Caenorhabditis elegans: one gene and its partners. The protein of the gene in region 4 purifies or fractionates together with the protein of the main gene of each other region. This does not show direct contact. Each region holds a gene or a part of one and is shown on either strand. Other genes may lie near its edges.

Region 1 (7,682 bases), on a different chromosome or scaffold from region 4:
TATCAGGTGATCAAGACTTTTTTGGTTACATCCATTCTGTACTCTGCATTTATAAAACTTACTGTAAATATCGCCGATTATCTCTTTCATTTTAAACTTGTCGTTGTTGTGCCAAGGTTTTTTAGCTGTAAAAATAACAAAAATTGTGTTTCTAAAAATGAACAATTCATTTTGAGGAAATAAGAATAACCAATTCTAGAAAACTTTTTTGAATTTCAGTTCTTAATTCCAAAACTTTGAAACGTTTATAAATGAACATACGATCTTTCTTTGCAGGATTTTCGCAAGTATGCAGACACGACAATTCATCTTGAAATATGTTCTCATTTGCACCTTTGCAGCCGTCATACCAGAACGAGAAACATTTCTGAAAAACGGAAATTATAAATTTGAGATAAGATTAGATTATCATTCCATATCAAAATATCACTCCTTCAAATTTACCTTTGAGCCTTTATCAAAATACCATTGATGACGCCATCTTCCTCCATTGCACTCCTTCTTCAAACCTTCATCAAAATCTTCCAAACATGATCCTAAAAATAATTGTGTTTTGTTGTCTTATTGTGTCTTAGACATCCGCAGAGGAAACAAAAAAGGAAATGTTTCTGAGAAAAGGAAGTGACAGTTCATCATTCAACTGGCGGGAATATTGTGAATGTTCGTGTTTTTTGTTGTTTTTTGTGTTCTTGCATCTTTTTACAAAAAAAAAAAAAGCGAACAATTTGGTTGTTTTGAATTCGAAAGTTTGAGAAGTGAGGGTGGAAAACATAAGAAAAACAGAATAAGAAAACAAAAATGTTTTGATAGTCAGAAATTTTGTTTGTCAATTGATAAATGACAACTCACTGGATTTATACATTGGTTGAGATTCACAAAGCCACTGGCACGTCAGTTCGTCATCGAAGATGTTTCTGGAATCCGAACGGCATCCATCGAACCAAAATTGACGGCATGTCAATGAAGCATGGTCGAAGTAGTAACGTTGTTGCCACTGGCCTAGAAAATTGTTTTTTTTTTCAATTTCAAGGTGCATGAGCTAACTTTTTATAATTTTTTAAGAATGAAACAAAATTTATCTAATTTTTTTCAAAAAAAAAATCACTTCAATTGTTTGGTTTTTAAATAATCAGATATAAAAAATTATACACATCTGACTTTTTTAAATGTCAAAACTCACCATTCATGCATTGATTCCGGTAGTTCATATCAAATTTGTCCCAGCAAACTTCTGAACGACAACTAATAAGTGGAATAAGTTGTGATAATATAATGAGTGATATCCTGAAGTCTAATGAACATCTTCTGTCGTCAAGCCGCTGTCTTTGTCGGTTTTGTGAAAATTTAAGTTTTTCATGATAATGTGATAAAGTGATGAGTCCACGTGGAATCATCGCATCTTGCGAATGATGATACGGGACCAAAGCACCACCAGCAAGGAGAGCTCTTCTGGAGAAATAAGTGAATACCATTGGAAAAGAACACGAAGAAAAATGAGAAAAATGAGAATAAGGTTGAAATCGTTTCTCAGAGAGTACCAATAAATCATGATTGCTAAGTTCCGTAAGGTAGGCATTTCAATATAATGGAACGGCAAGAAGGAAATTGTATACAATTTTCAGTCTTCGCAATGTCTAATCTATAATTTATTTGATGTCATTGGAATTTTTTTTTCGTAAATTTTCCTAACCAAAATTTCAGTTTCAAAAACACTTCTATACAGTTTAGACAGAAAATCAACATGGGGAAAGAGATATGACCACCTCAAGCTGCATGAATTAAGGCAGACCACACAGAAATATATTAAAAATCAAAAATAAACAAAACTGGAAGAACGTCTATTTGACATTTGAGTTGTGACAGACGACATCAAAAATTGATCAAAAATGCCGCCGCCTCTCGTTTTATTTTCATAAAAAAGGAAAGTCGGAGAATGTTTTGTGTATGTGTTTGGTGGTTCGTCGGAAGAAATCTTCTCATAGAGAAAGAAAAAAATCTAGAGAGGGAAACCGAGAGTTGACACGAAATATAGGCCTTCTTTCCCACTCTTTTGCCTCTGACGACGTCTTTCGTCTTCTCTTCGGACTTCCTTTCTATGAATCCTCCGGAGGGACCAAAAACTCGTTTCTCGACTTTTGAGAAGAAGAATAAGGAGACCCCGTTGAGAAAGAAGGAGTGCTCCCGGCCGTTTATAAGCTTTCTTTCCTCTCGTCTATCCATATTTTCTCGCGACCCGCTCCACTATCTTGACATGAAATCAAAAATCGAATTATATCTGTTGAGTGGTTTGTGAGTGTGTGAGAGAGTGGTATGTATCTACCATCATTATGGAAATTGAATTTTCTCAAAAAAGTAGTAAATGGTAATCTTTGAGCCGGAAACTGGTTATTTTAGGCATTCTCCCAAAATAGTACCCAGATTTGGTTAAGGGTTTCAAGTTTTGTCAACAATGTTCTATTTCCAAATAATTGTGAAAAAATACGATAAATTAAAAAACGTTCGGAATTAAAAGAATCATAGGATAAAGAAAACATACATTAGTACCTATATTTTATTAAAGTGTACTGAATATGAAAACTAATTTCAATTTTTTTACAATCAGTGTTCATAGAAAATACAAAGCCACCCTTTGTTAAAATTTACTTTTATAGTTATAAATAATTAAACTTGAAGTTAAAAACCGATTTGAAACTGAATGTCCAAAAACAAAAAACAATATGCTCATAGAACAAAAGGTTATTATTTTAGAATGCAAGTGTTATTAGAGAACTAAAGATTAGAAGAAAACAAACTTAGACATCAAAAGCACTGCAACTCTTTTCAAGCGGAACGACTTGACCACAATTTATTTCTTTAACAATGACCAACAACGGAAATGATCTTCTATAGACGTCAACTACATCTGAGCAGGTTATGTGGTGGGTGGCTCTTTCTTTACTAAACACATTCACATGAAATGTATGGAAAGGGTAGTGAACAATTATAGAAGCTTCTTTTCTATCCGGAAGACAGAGCTCCAAGCAGTTTCGAACGCGTCGGAGCAGAAAAGTGACGCTAATCTCGGTTGCCACTTTATTTTTCAGTTAAAAAAGCTCTCAGAAGCTGTTGAGAAGCGGATGAGAAAACGGAAAAAGGAGAGTGTGAGATGGGAAACTTTACGATTCGGAGAAAATATTTGAAAATCTGAGAAGACAACGGCTGAACGATCTGTAATAGACTGAAAGTTACCGGCTCGTGTTAGCACATTTGTCTCTTCGCACATTGTTGTACACGTATCATATTCAGAGAAAATATTCCGCGAACGTCCACGACAACCGTCATACCAAAATTGTTCACACCTGGAAAATGTAACACTTTTAATTTGTCTTGCTGATATGTTGCTGATGAAACATGTTTAAAATTTAGAATTACAAACATTAAATGTTTCTTGTACCCTTTTTCATTATTGTGAAAATTTTATTTTAAAAAAAGTATTTTTCTCGAAGATATTATGAAAAGACTGATATTACAAATACGTCTAAAGAAGATAATTTTTACAATATCTTTTGTGTATAGGTCTCGCCACGCGGGCAACAGAAATTACTGTAACTCGTGTCAATTTACGAACTGCTATTAAACCTTACATACAGGTAATTTGTTGGAAAGGTACCTCAAACATTCTTATAATATGTGGACAATTTGTCAACTGTTTCTATCAATTGGCTAGTTGTTTTAAAAAATTGTTTAGTCATCAAATTTTAAATTTTTGAGAAACACTGCGAAAACCGCTTACATTCTGGTTTGATGATTGAAGAAGAAATGCGGCCTCCAATTTTCATTACCGCATGTGTCCTTATAGTCGTGATCAAATTTATCCAGACAAGAATCTTTAATTTTGAAAATAATAAATTACTTCAACTATCAAGACGCTGACTTTTAGAAACTGTACAGTTATATCCATTTCCTGCGTATCCTTCTAGACAAGTACATATAAAACTTCCTTCTCTATTGATACATTCTGCATTTTTATTACACATTTCTGGACGCCGAAGACATTCATTCACATCTGAAATATAAAGTTGACTTTGATAATTTTTAATTTAATATCGCTTCGAAATGTATACCTGTGCAATTAAATCCATCTCCTTCATATCCTTCTTTGCATTGACACACTCCGTTCATACACGTGGCATGCATCGAACAATCCTTGCAATCAATTGATGATCTTCCTTCAAATATCAATAATAAAACTACTCCTGAAAGATATTTTCTCACCTAAACCAACATATGTACAATGTTTTCCATCTCCTCGATAAGAAGCCATACATTCACATTTATAGGAACCTATTTCATTTACACACCAAGCATTCCGATCACAGACTGCTTTGTAGCCACGGCATTCATCAATATCTGAAACAATACGAGATTTAAAATATTTAAGTTTATGCTTCACCAATGCATTCTCCATATTGATTTTTTTCATATCCACTCCGACATTCACAAGTATAATTGAACTTTGAGTTCGATTTGCAAAAAGAAGTTCGCAAGTCGCAATGATCACATGCTGAAAATGAGTTCCGTTAAAAAAACTTTTTTTCTAATCAAATGAAAGAAAATCCTCCAAATTGAAATTACATTTAAAATCTGAGATTTTCAAATAATCTTTAAAACATGATCAATCAGTACTTCCATCAAAAAATAAAATTAACTCGCCTATTTGTGGCGAAAGTCTTTCTCCACAAACTTTTCGGCACATATGTAGACTGTAAAACTTGTTATCATTTCCTCCACATCCATAATAGAAGAATTTTTCGCATTCTCCTGATTCCTGATTAAAAAAGTACCACCAATGACCATTCCGTTCATCACCACAATGACCTTGATCAGCATCCAATAAACAAAGATCTAAAATATGATTCGTTTATTTTAGTATATTTTCTTGATTTATGATCGAGCATACATACCAGTTTGCACTTTTTGACATTTTTAGCGGCATTCACTCATTGCGAAAAAGTTTGGCAAATAGAACGGCAATAGTATAAAAGATAGAGTTTCCTCTCTTCAAACCAAGAATCTACTCATTCTTCTTACAACTCTCATCATGAACGCTAAATTGTAAGTTAAAACAAATAAAATCCAACTTAAAACAAATATTTTCAGCCTTCTCTGTGTTTTGGCTCTTGCCATATGCTCAATTGTTCAAGAAACAAGTGCCCAATACTATGGATACTCTTCATATTACCCATCATATTATGGAGGGTATGGTCTCGGAGCATACAATGGATACTATGGTGGAGCCTATGGATACGGAGGATATGGATATTATGGAAAGAGAGAAGCTGGATTTGGACCATCTCAGCAAGCCAATTGATTCAATTTCTCTTTTCTTACGACTAAAATACTTAATGGTATTTCAATAAATACGTGTGCATTTTATTGAACTCTTTTTTATTGTTAGAAACAAAAATTGTTTCAAAGAATTTAATTTATGGTTGTTGGCAGGCAATAATGCGTGATGTAAAAATATCTGGAGAAAAATACAAACTTCATCTCATGAACGCAATCAATCCAAATATAATTGCATAGCTTATCAATTTATTCATGGTTTGATTTTTTACTCGACATCCGCAAGGTTTACCTGGTACTGCAACTGGATTGAACATTTTGTACTTGCACTGTTTCACACATTGTTGTTTTGATGAAAATCGATTTTTAGTGCCCATACATCCTCCATAATGAAACTCTTTGCACTCTTCTACCTGCTTGTCCCAAAACCATTGTACTTGATAGTATTGGCATGGTCCGGGATCTACATCCTCAAGGCAGATGTCTTCGTTGTCTTTAAAAGTTTTAAAAGTTTTAAACTTTTACATTTTTCTAAACATACTCTTGACAAAAACTGGTTCATCTTTTGTGTCTACAAGGTTTAAAAATACAAGAAAAAAAGGGAAAAGCTTGTGAGGAGGTGGTAGAAACATTTTGGCAACAGTAAGCTAAAATATCGAAAGTGGAAGACACCACAAGCCAGAAGAGGTCTAACGCACTATAAAATGTATGAGCATTCTCTTCTCATTATCTATGTATTCATATGGTTTTTTGGATGTTTATAGATATCCTCCCCCGTTGTCTTTACGAAGAGTTGTTTAGGATGATGTGAATTTGTGATTAACTTCGGACATTTTTTTCACAAAAATGCTTGTTTCAGAAATAGTAATGTTTGGGGGCCTGCAGATATTTGTTTGAAATTATACTTGAGCCCATGCAATTACTTTTGGGTGATTAGTTGAAATTATTCTTTGAATCCATGCTTATGTTGTCTAGCTGCATAATCATGTGATATTGACGCGAAGGCTGATAAAGTTATGATTACTGAAAAGTGCACGAAAGAGACATTGTTATTTCGTACATTTGTGTCATTTTGAATATTGAAAATAATAATTAGAAGTGGTTCTGATCTTTTTGCTCTTTTATAAAACTTCTTTGTTAAAAAATTTATCCATCTCCATCTGTCACAGGCCCGTAAAAGTTACCGAGATGCATCGGCACATCATCAAAGCCCTTCACAAGTTGGCGGAAGCAGATGGTTTGTTTAAAACTTTGAGAATTTGTTATACCGCAAAAACCATAACAGAAATATAAACAAACTCACGAGAACTGGTTACTGTCACTTTTTCTTGTGGCCAAAAAACGAGGCACTAATTTTTCGGTTTTTCGGTGAATTTAACAAGTTGTAGTTTTTCTAATTGATGTTTCAACGTTTTTTATTAAAAACTTAATTGTAGAAAAGCGACAGAAATTTTGATTATTGATTTACATTTTTTGAAAATCATGCGGAATTATTCAATTATTTTCAGACCTACAAATAGGAAATAATAATTTCTAATATAATAGTAAGCCTAAAAAGTAGAAATCCAAATTACGTTTCATTTAAATGGAGAAATGAATGTGAATTTAATTGATTTTCAAAATGAGGAGATGTAATACACAAGTACCGCAAAACTTTGAATCCAGTAGACTTATCAATAGTATTAATTTGTATAGTAATTTGTTTTTAAATTGTATATTGCATAGGGTTCATATAATTGCTTTCATCAGTAACTGTGACTTTTCTATTAGAAAATAAGAGTTTGTAATTTGAACAAGAAAATGTGCCGCCTATCTTTCTTGAATGTTTGTTTCCCAGTAAATATTTTCAAAATTGAAATCAAATTTATGTTTTAAAGTGTACATTTCCTTAGCTTTGGAATGAATTGTCCAACCTGAAAACTCGCCCCGTTTTTTATTTTGAAACTTTTACTGGCGTAACACGCGGCGGTCAAATTACAAAGGAACCCATTTTATTTTTCACTTCACATGAAATAACTCATTACGCAACAACTATCATGATAAATGTCATATTTTACCGTAGTTATTCTTATTGTTTCAGTTTCTCATTGTGAGAACCTTTCGAAATAGTATTGTGCAAACGGCATACATGTCCATACATCTGTCTGGTTATGTCATGTAAGCAGATGGAGGAACAAAACAGAAAATGTATTTTTGCGAGGAAGCACACAAAATTCGTTTTTGCTTTCATTAGTTTTGAAACAAAAACATACGTCGTGATTCAGTGATAAAAAATATGTTGTTTTTCAACAAAGAATTGAATCAGTTATTATGACTTTTCATTCTTCAAATGTTTTTTGGTCAATATTTTTTCTGAA
Region 2 (5,027 bases), on a different chromosome or scaffold from region 4:
TTGTGACAAATAATGTGTTTTAATCTGAAAATCGTTGAAAAATAACACTTTTCTGCGAGATTTATGATTTTGATGAATAATCCATTGAAAACAAGGAAAAACTTTAAAGTAACTTTCTATAGTGCAGCCGAAAATTGTTTGAATGTCGTTCAATCAAAAAAAAACAATTCTTTGCAATTTTGGAGAGTTTCCCCATCGGCACTAAAATAATAACTTTTTAGTACACTCTTTTTGAAAAAAGGTGATTTTTGAAACAAAAATGCACACATTCAGAGGCTAGGCAATTCAAACTTTTGATTGATTATAATATTTCATTGCAAAAAAACCTAATTTATATATGTCTACGACTTTTCGAGAAAAATTTGGTTACTGATAAACGTATGAGAGAAATAAATAAAATCATAAAAAATATGCAATTATTCCTTCGACTATAGTGGTTTAGTTAGTCAGCTTCAGACTTTGAAACTTCCGGGAAATGTAAAAATAAATTGAAATCTTAATTGGATTTTGTCATAAATTTACAAGAATTTAGGATGAATGAAAACTTTTATTGGTATCTTATGAAAATATTAATGTTTAATTTTTGAAATGGTCATGATCAGTTAAAAAATAAATTGAATAAACAATTTTTAGAATATTAATTAAAAATTTGAAAGTAAAAGTTCAGATAAAAATACGAAAAAATATTTGGAAAAAACACTGTATATAAAACTTTGGGGAAAATATAGCATTTCTGACAAAGTACATAGCTTCATGCTTTGGTGGAATTGATTTTTGCTCTGATTGCATCAAAAACATACTGTTCAGAATAGTTGAGTGGTGGCCCGATGGAATTAATAATTAAAAATAGTTGGCCTGAAATTAAAACTTTTTAAATATGCGGAGTATATTATATCCAAATATCTCTATGATAACAAGGACGTTTGAAAAAAAAAGACCTTATCTATGTAGGCACAGAAATGTATGCCTGTCTGCCTTCAAAGCAACCTATGCATATCTTGGACTTTCACTAGACTCTACGGAAAAACTACGGAAACATCTACAATTTCGTAAGAGTGCTCAATAGGAAAAAAACCAGAAAAGTTATTTGAGTTCGAACTGATAATAATTTAAGCAATTGAGTTATTAAAGAGTTGACTGAATCTAATATAAAAATCTTTTAATTTGATGTCCGGCTCTTACAATTAATTTGAAAAATTTGTATCATTTGATTATAGTTTCATTTAAAATTATTGAACTTTTTCTTACCTGTTCTGACATTGTTATTTCTGAATAACGTCATCATTTCTTCGCACTTTTTTGCCAGTTCAGTGTCTCCGAATGTGCAAAATTGTAGTGGTCGATCAGAAATTCCACAAGCAATTACTTGAATTAGGACTGAAAAATTATTAATAGTATTTTATTCTGCAAAATGGTACGCTATGTTCATTTTGCCGTCCATTGGAAAACTTGCTGTAGCTGAAAAGGAATTCTGAATAAAACGAAAAAAAAAAAACGTACATTTTAATGGTTTATTTCCTCGAAATGCTCCACATCCCCACCATCCCGATACAACTGGAATTTTTGAAAATCCGTCACCGGCACTCAAAAATCCAATTGCAGCTTTTCGAACTTCTCGTGTTAATTTTTCAGTTGTTAATTGATTTAAAAGGCATTCCAACGGCGTCCCCGCATTTCGAACAGCATCAATTGCAACTGTTTCAGTTTGAAGACGTCCAAATTGATCCCGAAATGAATTGTTATTTTGAGCAGAGTGCTTTGGTGTTATCTTGGCCCATTTGAGAGTGTTAGCTGAAACAATATATTTTTTAGAAAATAAATTAACATTTAGAACTTACAATATCCAGTATAGGAACTGAAAACATAGGCTCCAACAATTGAAATAGCTTCCAAATCTTGAGTTACATCATTCAATAATATAGCAACCATCATTTCAGGGCACATCATAAAACGAATTTCTTCCTAAAAAACAATAATGCTTTTTATTAATTTCAGATGATTCGAATTTTTAATAACAACTCAAAACATGAATACCACAAAACGTCAAATTGAATCGCTAAAAATTGAGAAAAGATAACCTGTACCTGAACAGCTCCTCCTTTCAAAACTCCGCCTCCGAGACGTTTATTTGCAAAATCGATTTGTGTGCAGAGTGCGGTCTCCTCAATGGACATTTTATCAAATACTTGAACATCTGGCAACAAATTAGTTTCTCTTAATTTCCAATTTTCCAAATATTGTTTATGTGTTATTCTCATTTTACGAAAACTGACAGCACCAATTGGAGGATCTATTGACATTTTATCAAAGTATGTGAACAAAAATTTCAGTTTTTCCACTGCGACACAAGTCGTTTTTTGAAGAATTCTAAAACAAGGATTTAAATGTACAGCTCTACACTAGTTTAGATTTACATAATGAAACTCAATCGAGGTGTGTCACTGAAAAACATCCAAGCAATTAGTGATGCACATTGAATATGACTGAAAGTTGCTGATTCAATATCTCCGACAAGCCGATAAATTTTCTAAAAACAAAAATATGTAAGAACATGGTAAAAAGAATTTCCCACAGTTTCACTTACCTCTGGAAGAACTTCACAAGCTGATTTGGTAATTCGAACTAATCTTGCTAATTTTTCAAGAACTTCATCCTCTCCAACAATTTCTGACATTTTGCGGTAAAACGACTTTAGTGCTGGTAAATCAAATCTTTCTTTTTCTTCAGAATATCCCCATATTTTGAAAAGAAGATCCTGGAAATTAGATATTTTACACGAATTTTATTTATTTAATGTAAAGAATAATATGTTTAGAATAAAACATACTAGTACAAAGATTTTAAAAACTTACCTCGAACTGCGAATATCCTCCATTTTTGTAAGTTTTCAAATATTCATTGAACAAATTTTGATCACAATTTCTCCATTGTTGAGACACCCCTGTTTCCAGTAGCTCAAACGCTGAAGTTATTGTACTCATATTTTTCGAAATAAATTTGGAATAACTCACATATGTTAGAAATAGGAAAATCCGTAATTTCACAGTATCTAACATTCCTTTCAGCATCAACTTTTTGGAAATCTGGTTGAAATCTGATGCTTCTGAATTCTTCCAAATACTTCATTAAGTTTTCATGATCCATTTCAGTTGTTGTTAAACTATATTTAAAAATTCAATTGCTAAAAATTAAAAGAATTAAATAACAGAAATATTTTAGAATAGTTGGAACAATGTTTCGTGTCCTCTAAAAATGAACATAAGAAAACTATGAAAAGGTCGAAATATATAGAGGACATCGCTTTGAAACATTGCGAAATTTTTCAAAATCTCGCTCTACATTTTTTTAAAATTATGACAATCATTTAAAATTTAGAAAAACCGCAAACGTTTTATGCTGCTTGGCAACAGTCGAGAATTTTTCGAAGTTTCCAACGTTATTGCAAAATATTAATTTGTGTGGCGTCATTTTTTTTATTATAATTTCTGGACATAAAACAAAGTGTTACACCAGTCACCGAGGGCACCAGATTTTTTGAAGATGACACACAAAAAACTGCACAACAAACCGATTATAAATAAAACAAGAGACTATAATAAATTGTGAACTTTTACAATTTTATTTTTGAAACTATGTTTTATTTTACGCGACCTTTAAAAAAGTTTAAAATAAAAAAAGTTTGGTTTTCTGATCCCGTTGTCGCAATTTATTTCAAAATTTTCAAAAAACGGGCGGAACAATGTTTAGCGATGTTTTAAAAAGAATTAATGCTCAAGAAATATACAAGGTATTCCAATTTTCGGTTAATTTCGCAAATACAATTTCAGCGTCATATTGACATTTTCCATGCAATCACTTATGACAATATTGATGGATTGGTGGCGTTAGTTTTTCAGATTTTCAGATGCGTTTTTGAATTGTTAATATTTTCAGAGCATTTGTCCGCAATGAACCATTTGATATAAAGGATAAAAATGGAAATACTCCGCTTCATTTGGCTGCAAAACTCAGTAATTTTAAAGTTTTAATGTTTAAGAAAACTTAAATGATGTTTTGACAGATCGACGTCTTCTTTGCCGAGCTGTTTGTGTCTATGCCGCTGGATTGGATCTTTGGAACTCGAAAAATAATGATGGAAAAACACCAATTGAGATGACTGATGATGCAAAGTAAATTAAACTTTTACGGTGTTCATTAAAATTAATCAAGATTCAAAATCTCGATTTTACATTAAATGATTATGTTTTCAGCATAAAACGAGATCTCCAAAGCATTTCAACTAGTAGAAGTTCCGTGGACAGTCATCACATGGCTTACAACAAACTCCTAATTGAAAAGAAAATCAATGAAAATGAGGAGCAGAATCAAAATCAGAAAGTTATTTTGAGTCTTGATGGTGGCGGTTTAAGAGTTGTTTTGCAATGTGCAATTCTTTTGGCTGTTGAAAGAGAACTTGGAGAACCACTACGAAATCGAATTCATTGGATTGCCGGAACAAGCTGTGGAGGTATCATGGCAAGTTCAATTGGTGTTGGTTAGTTTTTAATTGCTATGATTCAATATTTAAATTCAAATGTTTCCAGGTATTGATCTAGCGGACGCACTCCGTCTCTACATCATAATTCGAAAACGTATCTTCGGTGGAAATAATCAAAAGTTCCCTAAACATTCAGCACTTGGAATCGAAACTTGTCTTCAAGAAGTGATGGGTTCAAAGACTTTAATGTCCAAGTGCACTGCCCATCGGTACAGCTAAGGGATTGAAAATAGTTGTAAATCTTAATTTCAGTCTTGTTGTTACAACTGCAAAAGTCACATTGGCTCCACCTCAATTGGTTCTCTTCCGGTCATATGCACCGCGTATCGACTCAAAAGAGTTTGAGCAACTTGGATATTTCAATCCGAACAAGATTTTGTTGTGGAAAGCAATTCGATGCACTACGTAAGTTTTTCGTCCGCTAGAGCTGGACCAAAATTTTATGTTTTCTTTTTTAAATAAACTCAAATCAGAGCTGCTCCTACTTACT
Region 3 (4,967 bases), on a different chromosome or scaffold from region 4:
TTGAAGTCGCGAAATCGAGGAGAAATAGAAAATCGATTTGGAACAGAAGGAGAATCAAATATATTTAGTTTTTTATTATAACTTCATGAAGATTGTTATATTTTCTTTTTATCACTAACGCGGTATACTGGACCTATTTCATCTGACCCCCACAAATTTTGTGAGATTGAAAACGTAAAGTCATACTCCTGCTCGTGATGGATCCAATTTACTATCAATCCTGTTTGCCAGTCCTAATTAAATATAATTATAGAACATTTTCTTGGGTGGTTTTTGGGGTTCTCCGATAGTACTTATAAGGATACTTTCAGGTTGCTGTAGTGGTACATAACAGCTGGTTTGCTTTAATTGAAAAAAGCATCTGAATATGATTTTTTATTTTAATATAAATATTTTGAAGATAAACGTGAGCTTTTCCAATGTCCAATGAATACGTATTTCACGTAAAGGTCGATCAAACATCGAGATAAAAGTTGATGTGAAGATGAGAAAATTGAAATAAAATCAGTTCTCACTTGAACATTAACATTCGACTAACCATCATCTTGCAAACTTGCACCAAATCAATCGACATGCAATCAATCAACATCTTGTTCGCCATGCTCCTCATCTTGGCTCCAATTGTCAATGGAGACGATACTGCCGTTGCTGTGTGAGTTGTTCTCTATAATTACTCTTTTTTACTTTTCTATTCCAGGACTGCAACTAAAGTCACTGAAGATGCAACTGTGGCTCTCATCGAAACAACAGCCAAAGCCGTTGCAGAAACAGAACCAGCTACAGAACCAGTTCAAACCACCGAAGCTGTTGAAGAAACTACAGAAGCTGTTGTTGTAGAAGCCACTCAAGAGACTAAAGATGCTGAAACCAATGCTCCAGTTGATACTCCAGCTGCCAATAACATCGAAGCTACAACTGAAGGGGCTTCTCGTCCATCGCTTTCATCGACTGTTGCACCAAATGTAACTTCTGTTGATGACTTGCTCGGAGAAACTTCAACCAATGCCACAAAAGCTGCTTACAACACTGGAACCTTCTTTGTTGTCCCAATGGTCGTTCTCGCTTTGATTCAATGATTTGATTGATCTCTGTTGCTAACTTATACTAACTGAATAAAATATTATGTGATAACCAAGTTCTTCAAAAGTCTTTATTACATTAATCTATTGCAGTTAATAAAATAATATGTGATTATCGTAATATGTCTTTGTTTCTGAACTCAATCAAAGCTGTTCGGCTAAATTCTTATTCCATTCAGATTAGATTAAATTTAAGATGTGCTAACCATTAACCTCGCAGGATTTCAATTCAGGACAGGAAAGCAAGAAGCAGGGTGGTAGTCATGAAGTCGTGCCTTCATTTCAGAAATTAGGCATCTCTAAAGTTGATGAAGTTGGTTGAGAATTTGCGGGAAAGAGAAATAGTTCCAAACATGAGAAAATTACATATTACACAATTTTGTCGGTTCATCATCTTCCTCCAAAACCGAATAATCGTCTTTATCTGATTCGAAAAAAAAAACTTTATCAACCACTGGAAAACCTTTATTGTTGTCCCAATAGTGGCTTTCGCTTTGATTCAATGATTTGATCGATTTGTATTGCTCTCATACTAACTCAATAAAATATTATGTGATAACCAAGTTCTTCAAAATTTTTTATTCCATTAATCAAACAAGATTTCATGAAAAATCGCAATCTCTATCTTCCTGTCAACCGCAGTATACCTGTTAATAAATCTAATCATTATTATTATCATCTGATTCCTCATTTCTCTTTTTCTCTGTCTTTTTCATTCGTTCCTCAACCTTCTGCCAGCTTATGATGTACTATGTGTCAGTTGTTCCTCTTTCTTCTCCTTCCCTCATTTCCTCCCTCGAACCTCTTTGATGGGCGTGGCTTGAGCTTCTTTCTGTGTCTGAGACCAACATACTTCTTGCCTCTTTTACTGCCCACCAAAAACTTTCTCCATTTCAGTACAGTCTAGGCCAAATGTGCCGATGGCTTTTCTGGCACTGATATCACTTATCACATCTCCCCTAACTTTCGATCTACAAATCAACGGACCATCGGTTAATCCTGCACCAATTATATTGAGCACACCGTCCAAAAACTTATCATTATCATTTCACAATGGACACATCTACGCGGATTCGATTCCTGTATCAGCTATTTCTGAAAATGAGACTACATCATTCTCATTGAAATGTATTTCACATATTTCTTTACATTTTCAAAGTCCACATGCAAACTCTCTGGTTTATTCTCCAACATTGTGTTCAGCTCCAAATATCGGTAAGTTACCGAAAGAATTAACGAACGAATTACTTCCTGACTGTAAAAACAACCTTGAAATTTTTTGAAACATTATATCTAATTGTGAAATCAGTAGAAAAATCTGACTCATTTCGCTTTTTTTTACAAAATGATTGCTTCAAACTCTCCGATTTGCGTTTGAAAAAAGACTTTTGAATTACTGCTCATGTTTGCTGGTTGCCAGTTTCTCGATGTCGATGATGACAACAAAACGAGTTTCTGCAACTTGAAAAATTCTTCCTAAAATTAGAGATTTCAATCTTCCCTCCCCGATATTAAGTGAAAACCAATCTCATAAATCTGGAAAGACGCTTGCTGCAAGTGGCTAGAATAGTTTTTGTGCTAGAATCATAGCGGCTGCCTCAAAGCACACCAACAAAAAGAGCACTTTAGTCTTCTTTTCGGCTCCTTTTGGAAGCTGGAGCCGGCGCCGGAAATGAGCAAAAGAGTACTCTTTGGAGTATTCTGGAGCATCTCGGTATGTTGTTGTTGCTGTTCTCTATGTTTGTTCCGTAATAAACAATTGATGAAGATGAATGAATGAGAAAAGAAGAAGGAGATGGAGAGAGAGAGAGAGGAAGAAGCTTAAAAAGGAAAGAGAGTCATTGAAAATTCATCAGCAGATCATTCCGATGAACATGACATTTCAAATAGACCTAATAGAAATTTGTTAGCTTTTTTTGAAAATTGCTGAAAAGGACATACAAAGATTGTAAAACTTATTTTTTGAGTATGATTTCAGCATATTTTCAATTATTGCGCAAAATTGTTAAATTGAACTTTTCGAGTATTTGCACAACAGTTCCGTTTTTTTCTTTACCCTGAATTCTTCACAAAAATTGGGAGTTGGGGTTTGCAGCTAATTTTTTTAACTACCGAGTCAAAAAGTATAATAAGAAAACAATTTCTAAGAACTCGCTTCGAAGCCAAATCCCGCCATTTCTTCTTTTCCCGGTCAATAAAACTGTATTTTTTATCTCAAAATGTAGGCAGTAGATACCTCAAGATTCCCGGAAAAGTTTAACCCATTTCTTCAAAAAATCATAGTTGTTGGACTAATTAGCAAGTGTCAACACATGTGTCCTTCCATCATCCCTGTTTATACTTGCACTTGTTCACCACCAACCGACACATTTTGTAAATTATATGTTTTCTCTTCTTCTTCTTCATTTTTATGAGCCATGTGTTAGAAGAGGATGCTTGAGTTGAATAGAAAAATAAAAAATATTAAAATACAAAGTTGAATTCAAACAAATTGTAGGGCTCACAATAAACGAAACAGCGCTCAAAGGATGTATGTTTGATATCACTCAATCCAGCTCAATTTTGACTCAACGGATATGCGGGTGAGTTAAAACATTAAAAAAAGGAATTAGATCTGGATTTACCGTTTGAGCGTTTCTGTGTCAAAAGAAACGTTAACTATGTTCAATCTAGACTTTCATGAAGGTACAGGCATATTGTAGGCATTCAAGGCATGTGTATCCAATGGCGACCTTATCCATACTATCATGTGAAGAAAATTTGAAATTCACTGCAAGTAGGCGTAGGCTGCATTTAAGGGTTTCCTTGTAGAAAATATACAAACTGACACTTCTATTAATTTCTCAGGTTCCAATTTAGTTCAAAAAATCGGTGTACTTTTCACAAGACAAACAAACAGACAAAAATGTACGTGAAGGCAACATGTGTCTACTTTTAGTGACAACTCGACTGAAAATGTGTAGATCGTTTTCAGGCAGTATACATCTGCCTTATAGGTGTATATATCTTGAAGACTTTGACAATCAGACGTAACAAACATGTGTCCCTATCATTGAAACCATGAATAATGGGCGGTCTCGTTTTCACTCAATCATCAATCTGTCGTCCAGTCGGCAACTCTTTTTCCATTCCATTCTTCCAACATCTTGAAGCAATTTCTCTGCGACGAATCAAATCTCGCACTATTTTACCACATTATTATTATCCATATGTCTGCGTGTCCACATCATTTGGCACTGTTTCACTGGTTTAAAGTCAGTGATGACAGTGGAGTATCAAAAATTGAGAATCACGAAATAGTGCTGAATTGAGAGAGATTTAGGCAAAGAATGGGATACGCTGGATAGAGATGGAGACCACCAGAATTTGATACTTTGTGGCCGATAAAATTGGCACATTTGAGAGGGATTTATGGGGTGGCGAGGCAGTGGCAAAGAGTTGTTTGTTAGTAAAAAAGTCAGTGGTCACTGAAAAATAACCTGTGACTATAGGTAATGGGGGATATTGAATAAAAATAACAAATATGATAAAGTGAGGGACTTAAATGTTTTTCAGTTCATAGAAATCCGAAATAACTTTAATAACATCTATTTTAAAGAATGTTTAGGGAATTTTCCTAACTTACCCGTAAAGGCAAAATTTAGCAAGCCCATTTTTGAATGCATATCCTAAAGGTTCTGAAACTCAAACACATGATTTTACACTAATACGTTCAAAAATATATCGTAAAAAATGAGTTCGGGAGATGTCTATCAATATATATTTCGTTGACTGTGTTAAAATATTCAACACATTACCAACATGATATTAAAATTATTTGCAACATTTTCAACATGCGTTAAAAATTCTGCCTTCCAATTTCCAGAATCGACTCAAAAAATGCGGCAA
Region 4 (4,562 bases):
AATATTTTGAAAAGCTCCAAACTGCCAAATTAGAGGGGGATGCTATAGAAGTTGGACGCACTGTATTACACCGGTTGGTAAAAAAGAGGTGCCGAGGATTTTATGACATTGTGAAGTTAGTACTTTACTACTACTACTACTACTATAAGAGTGTCTCATACTGCTGAGTTCTTAAAAAAATAAAAAAAAAGGGAATGTTGTTCGAACGAAGTTTCGGGGATTGCTTTACCACATAAAAAATTTGAGAAAAGATGAAAACTGAGAAAATACAAAACACTTGTTGCTCGCTCTAATATTTTTATTTTTTTGAGGCATAACTTAGTCTGAGAATTGCAGAAGATCGTCAAGATCTGATATTTTTAGAAACCGGCAAATGCATAAGTTTCCCAATACCGAAAATTTTTGGATCACTTACTGTTAAACAAAAATTAAATTTAACACTCTTAGCACAGGGCTAAAGTTTCTGATTTTTCAGCACTTGTACTCACAAATTTAATCAAGAAATGTTTCAATGTGTTGAAAAAATTAATTTGAAAAATTTACAAAATATTTTATTTGTAAAAAAACAATGTTCGGAGCATTGAATTATAGAACTAACACAGTAATGTGTTGAAATGTGTTTAAATGATCGTTTAGATTTCCTTTCGAATTAATGGAGCTCCATCAAAGCGCTTCTTGTTCTCGATTCCAAAGAGTAATCTGATAGCCCGGCAAATGAACCGTATTACTACGTTACATGGTCGATTATATTTTTCTCGTTTCATTCTATCGTACACTTTCATTGCGGCAATGGAAATTCTGAAAATGAACTAGAGTTCAGAAAACAATAGTTCAAAATGTTAGGTGACCTCTGGTAGTCGAGCCAATACTTGATGGTCATGTAATCATATCTACAGGTTTCCATTGCAACCGAAAATTCTCTGAAAACTAAGAATATGAAATAACGATACGGCATTGCAATTCACATAATAGCACCATCATCGTTTTCCGGGCATACCGGAGGAACTCCAACCCAGTCGTTCAATTTATTTCGTGGTATGGGACCTGGCGGAGCTTCACCGTTCATCAGTTTGTTGAGAGTGTACTGATCAGGAAAGACGTATGTCTCGGCTGGATGGTGACTGCAGACTGAACCAGAAAAACTATGTATTAAAGAAAGTATTTCAAATGTATTTTTCTAATATCACAAATACTAGCATACAGAGAAATCTCATATATCTGATGTTTCAAATTCCTCTAGGTTTCGAATTGAGAGATTTTTCTTTAAAAAATTTGGACCGACCTAAAAATGTCGAAAATTTTTAGGTAGACTCAATAAAAACTTAAAATTGACTTTTGTTCTAAACTTCATTGAACTTCAAAAAATTTTTTAACTTTTTTATTAGGTCAAGGAAACTTTTGTTTTATTTTATCAGTTTTTTTCCACTTTTTGATCTCAAAACTCTGCCAACAAAACATTGTTTTCCGTTAAACCTCTTTGCGACATACTATTTCGGCTCTTTTGAAAAACAAATTATATTGTTCTTATATTGCACTTATTTTGTATCTAAAGGAAGCCTATCAATTGAAGGTTATTTGTCTTAAATTTTAGTTTTCGGCCATATTAGAAAGAATATGAGGGGAAGTTAAATAATTCGAGGAAGTACGAGAAAACTTGACTGATAAACGGAAAAAAGCCCGCATGGGGTGGGGCCTATTTTAGAACTTCGTGACGGTTGGCTATTTCCGCCCATTTTTTGGTTTGTTTTTTAAGTCTACGGTTGAAAAATTGAAAAATAAATTTAAATTGGCGGCAACGATACTACGCGCTGAATCCTGATCGACGCGAAGACACAAAACAGTAAAAATGTGTAATTTTCATTGATGGCCAATTCAGTGCGTTATATCGTTGCCGCCGATTTAAATTTATGTTTCAATTTTCTAACCGTTACATAGAAAATGAACAAAAAACTCATCATAAGGATAAATATGAATAAATAAATGAATAAATAAAATTCCTCCCATGTGGGCTTTTTTGCGTTTTTCGGTCAAATTTTCTTGAACTTCCTCGAATTTTTTTACAGTCTTTCAAATGTAATGTAGATAAATTATTTATTTTTGGATGAGAAAACATCATTTTTTATTGAAACTTGGAAAAAATGGACTGACCTCGTGAAAGAATTTTTTCAAGTATTTTCATTCCTTCTAATGGGGTTATTCAAGTAATGTCGGAAAATTAAAAAGTGTAGAAAAATTACGTCACAACTGTATTCAAGTATATAAAAACATGTATTTAAATACATTTGTGACGTCACAAATGTATTTAAATACATTTTGCTACATTACTTGAATAAGCCCATAAATTTCAAACGATTGCGATCATTATTCAAGTGTTTACAAATAACGTTTGCTTTGTACAAAAATATTGAAATTTCCAATAAAAATTATGAAAAAAAACATTTTGAAAAAGGTAGAATGTTTCATTTACTGTTTTTTTTTTGGAATTATAATTGATTTCGTTTTTTGAAAAATAGTTTTGAATGCAGAAAAACCACTTTTGTTCATGAATACTAAAACTTACAGCATGGTGCATCTAAATCGCACTCTTTTAGATGTCTCATAGCTATTTTTGCTTTTTCGGTCAGTAGTTTAACAAATCCAGTCATCGTTGCCTATACAGTCTGAAAACCTTGTAACATTGTTAAGAGAGAACTAAACAAAATTAAGTTTTCAATTAAAATCAATATATTTTACAAAAAAATATAGAGAACATTAAAAAATGAATGTAATGAAGAGATGATGACTTGTATTTGAATTTGGATTCCAATACTGTCAGACAAGAAAAATTGAAACAAGTGTAAACAGGTTAACATGAGAAATTGACGAGATTGACTTTGAAACACTTTTTGGCAATCACAACATAAACACACGTCGTGGCTAGCAGTAAAGAGGGAGAAAAAGTACTGTACGAAAAAAATACCGCATAGAGTTGTTGTTGATGTTTTTGTTATTGGACAATAAGGAGAAAATTTGGAATGGAAAAGATGGAAAAGATGGGGAAAGGGAGAAAATTGCAGGGTTATGAGAAGAAATGACTAGTTGAAGCACGTTGAGACAACTGGAAGGAACATAAATGACATAGAGTGATGTTTTTTATACAGAATGAAAAAAAAGAACGCGATGTTATTATTTCGTTTTGTTGAACCAATTACTGAATATTCCAAAACGTCGCTTCTTTTTTTTCTGACTTCTGGATGAAGAACTTGTCGACACACTGTCATCGCCAGCATTCTCACCGTTCGCCTCAAGTTCTGTCGGGCTACGTGGCGCGGCGACAGTAATTCCAGCCTCCGAAGGAGCGTTGCTCATATTTTGAACAATTTCTGGTTTCGACAAATTCGAGAGTCCCTGCCTGTTCACCGTGTTACCGGTGTTGAGGTTGACTGGGAACGTGGCTACTGTATGCACACTCTTCCCGCTTCCTGATCTTCGGAGCTTGCTACTTGGTCGCGTTGAAGGTCTAGAAACACTTTCAAATAATTTTAGACTAAAGAATGCAATAGCGGAGAAAAAAATGTTCAAGTTAAACATTTTTACTTATTTTCACCTTTGCTCTTGCTTTCACTAAATGTATTTTGAAGATGATGTACAAGAAAAGTACTGCAAATTAAATCGAAAAACGTTTTTTAAAAATATTACCTTTCCAAAATTCATTTACAGTGATCGCATTAAAAAATCAATATTACACTCCGCCTGTAGGTTTTTTTGCACATTTCAACATAAAATCTACTGAATTTCTGATATTTTTGTTTAAAATCCAAAAAAATCAATAGCTAAAATTCGTTTTAAAAAAACTGTTGCTTGAAATGATCGAAATTTGTGATTATAATACTTCATATTTCAGTATAACACTTTTTTCACAAACATCTTATTCTCGAAAACTTCCTCCTACAACATTTAACATTCAAATTTTCGCAACTCACTCATAAGGTGTCTCTTGAGGTGCGTCAGTGGCTACCATTTGCTTCATATTATCAAGCCAGCTACGAATTTTGAATAAATCGATGGGATCGATATTCACACTTCCAGAGCTGCGCATTGCAGGTGGTGAATTGATCAGCAACGCAGCACCTTCTTCGGTGAAAAGAAGCCCATCGTCGTCGCGCTCTTCAAAATTTGAAGGGGTTGGGTAAATAATTAGATTTGGTACACTTTATATATATTTTTCAATGCATTCTCATTTCAAGTTTGTTACGCGAACTCAACTGCGGCATTGCGATTTTATGTAGCTCACAAGAATAAAAAATTTCAATTTAACATAATTTTGTTAAAATAGAACAGAATGGCGGAACAACAAAAATTTTAATTAACTAGAAAAACAATTCAAAGAGAACGGAGAAAGTTTGATTAGGTTTGTTATATTCTAAAAAAATGCGTGTGCGCAATCGAGAAGCGTCACAAATGTCACCTAAATTTTGTTTTCTTGGAATTATATTTTGTGACGTTGAATGTAAAATTATAAGGAATTAATGACAAACTCTAAAAGTTATATAGACTTAAATCTTGTCATATGACCACTTTCA

Evidence for each region.
Region 1: the proteins of C17H11.5 (region 4) and mec-9 fractionate together in Caenorhabditis elegans (co-fractionation; one large-scale study listed by BioGRID). This does not show direct contact.
Region 2: the proteins of C17H11.5 (region 4) and parg-2 fractionate together in Caenorhabditis elegans (co-fractionation; one large-scale study listed by BioGRID). This does not show direct contact.
Region 3: the proteins of C17H11.5 (region 4) and C48E7.6 fractionate together in Caenorhabditis elegans (co-fractionation; one large-scale study listed by BioGRID). This does not show direct contact.

What each region holds. Positions count from the first base shown.
Region 1 is NC_003283.11:9,909,116-9,916,797, forward strand, and holds the start of mec-9 (Kunitz/Bovine pancreatic trypsin inhibitor domain protein), read right to left. Parts: upstream 6,007-7,682; 5' UTR 5,958-6,006; coding exon 5,867-5,957; intron 5,819-5,866; coding exon 5,618-5,818; intron 5,415-5,617; exon of another isoform or gene 5,351-5,414; coding exon of another isoform or gene 5,140-5,350; intron 5,095-5,139; coding exon of another isoform or gene 5,081-5,094; exon of another isoform or gene 5,067-5,080; intron 4,885-5,066; coding exon 4,693-4,884; intron 4,544-4,692; coding exon 4,433-4,543; intron 4,390-4,432; coding exon 4,255-4,389; intron 4,209-4,254; coding exon 4,104-4,208; intron 4,046-4,103; coding exon 3,914-4,045; intron 3,867-3,913; coding exon 3,773-3,866; intron 3,339-3,772; coding exon 3,229-3,338; intron 2,217-3,228; exon of another isoform or gene 2,004-2,216; intron 1,452-2,003; exon of another isoform or gene 1,395-1,451; coding exon of another isoform or gene 1,232-1,394; coding exon 1,181-1,231; intron 1,000-1,180; coding exon 850-999; intron 537-849; coding exon 445-536; intron 368-444; coding exon 262-367; intron 126-261; coding exon 63-125; intron 1-62. Other genes in the region: fipr-10 (FIP (Fungus-Induced Protein) Related), read left to right, coding at 5,081-5,094, 5,140-5,350.
Region 2 is NC_003282.8:8,711,884-8,716,910, forward strand, and holds parg-2 (Poly(ADP-ribose) glycohydrolase 2), read right to left. Parts: upstream 3,250-5,027; 5' UTR 3,145-3,249; coding exon 3,012-3,144; intron 2,963-3,011; coding exon 2,853-2,962; intron 2,756-2,852; coding exon 2,585-2,755; intron 2,528-2,584; coding exon 2,415-2,527; intron 2,368-2,414; coding exon 2,085-2,367; intron 1,963-2,084; coding exon 1,839-1,962; intron 1,792-1,838; coding exon 1,501-1,791; intron 1,378-1,500; coding exon 1,249-1,377; intron 856-1,248; coding exon 752-855; 3' UTR 525-751; downstream 1-524. Other genes in the region: ipla-5 (PNPLA domain-containing protein), read left to right, coding at 3,740-3,787, 3,828-3,883, 3,934-4,010, 4,061-4,169, 4,251-4,534, 4,584-4,746, 4,790-4,942, 5,011-5,027. UniProt on the Caenorhabditis elegans protein: Poly(ADP-ribose) synthesized after DNA damage is only present transiently and is rapidly degraded by poly(ADP-ribose) glycohydrolase. Poly(ADP-ribose) metabolism may be required for maintenance of the normal function of neuronal cells.
Region 3 is NC_003279.8:6,234,213-6,239,179, forward strand, and holds the start of C48E7.6 (Chondroitin sulfate proteoglycan 4), read left to right. Parts: upstream 1-1,921; 5' UTR 1,922-1,999; coding exon 2,000-2,294; intron 2,295-3,576; coding exon 3,577-3,661; intron 3,662-4,361; exon of another isoform or gene 4,362-4,498; intron 4,499-4,944; coding exon 4,945-4,967. Other genes in the region: col-56 (Col_cuticle_N domain-containing protein), read left to right, coding at 1-68; C48E7.7 (MS Related Protein), read left to right, coding at 573-652, 698-1,076.
Region 4 is NC_003284.9:8,182,472-8,187,033, forward strand, and holds C17H11.5 (Phage protein), read right to left. Parts: upstream 2,663-4,562; 5' UTR 2,646-2,662; coding exon 2,561-2,645; intron 1,129-2,560; coding exon 966-1,128; intron 921-965; coding exon 849-920; intron 799-848; coding exon 633-798; 3' UTR 537-632; downstream 1-536. Other genes in the region: C17H11.6 (RBR-type E3 ubiquitin transferase), read right to left, coding at 3,166-3,499, 3,963-4,146.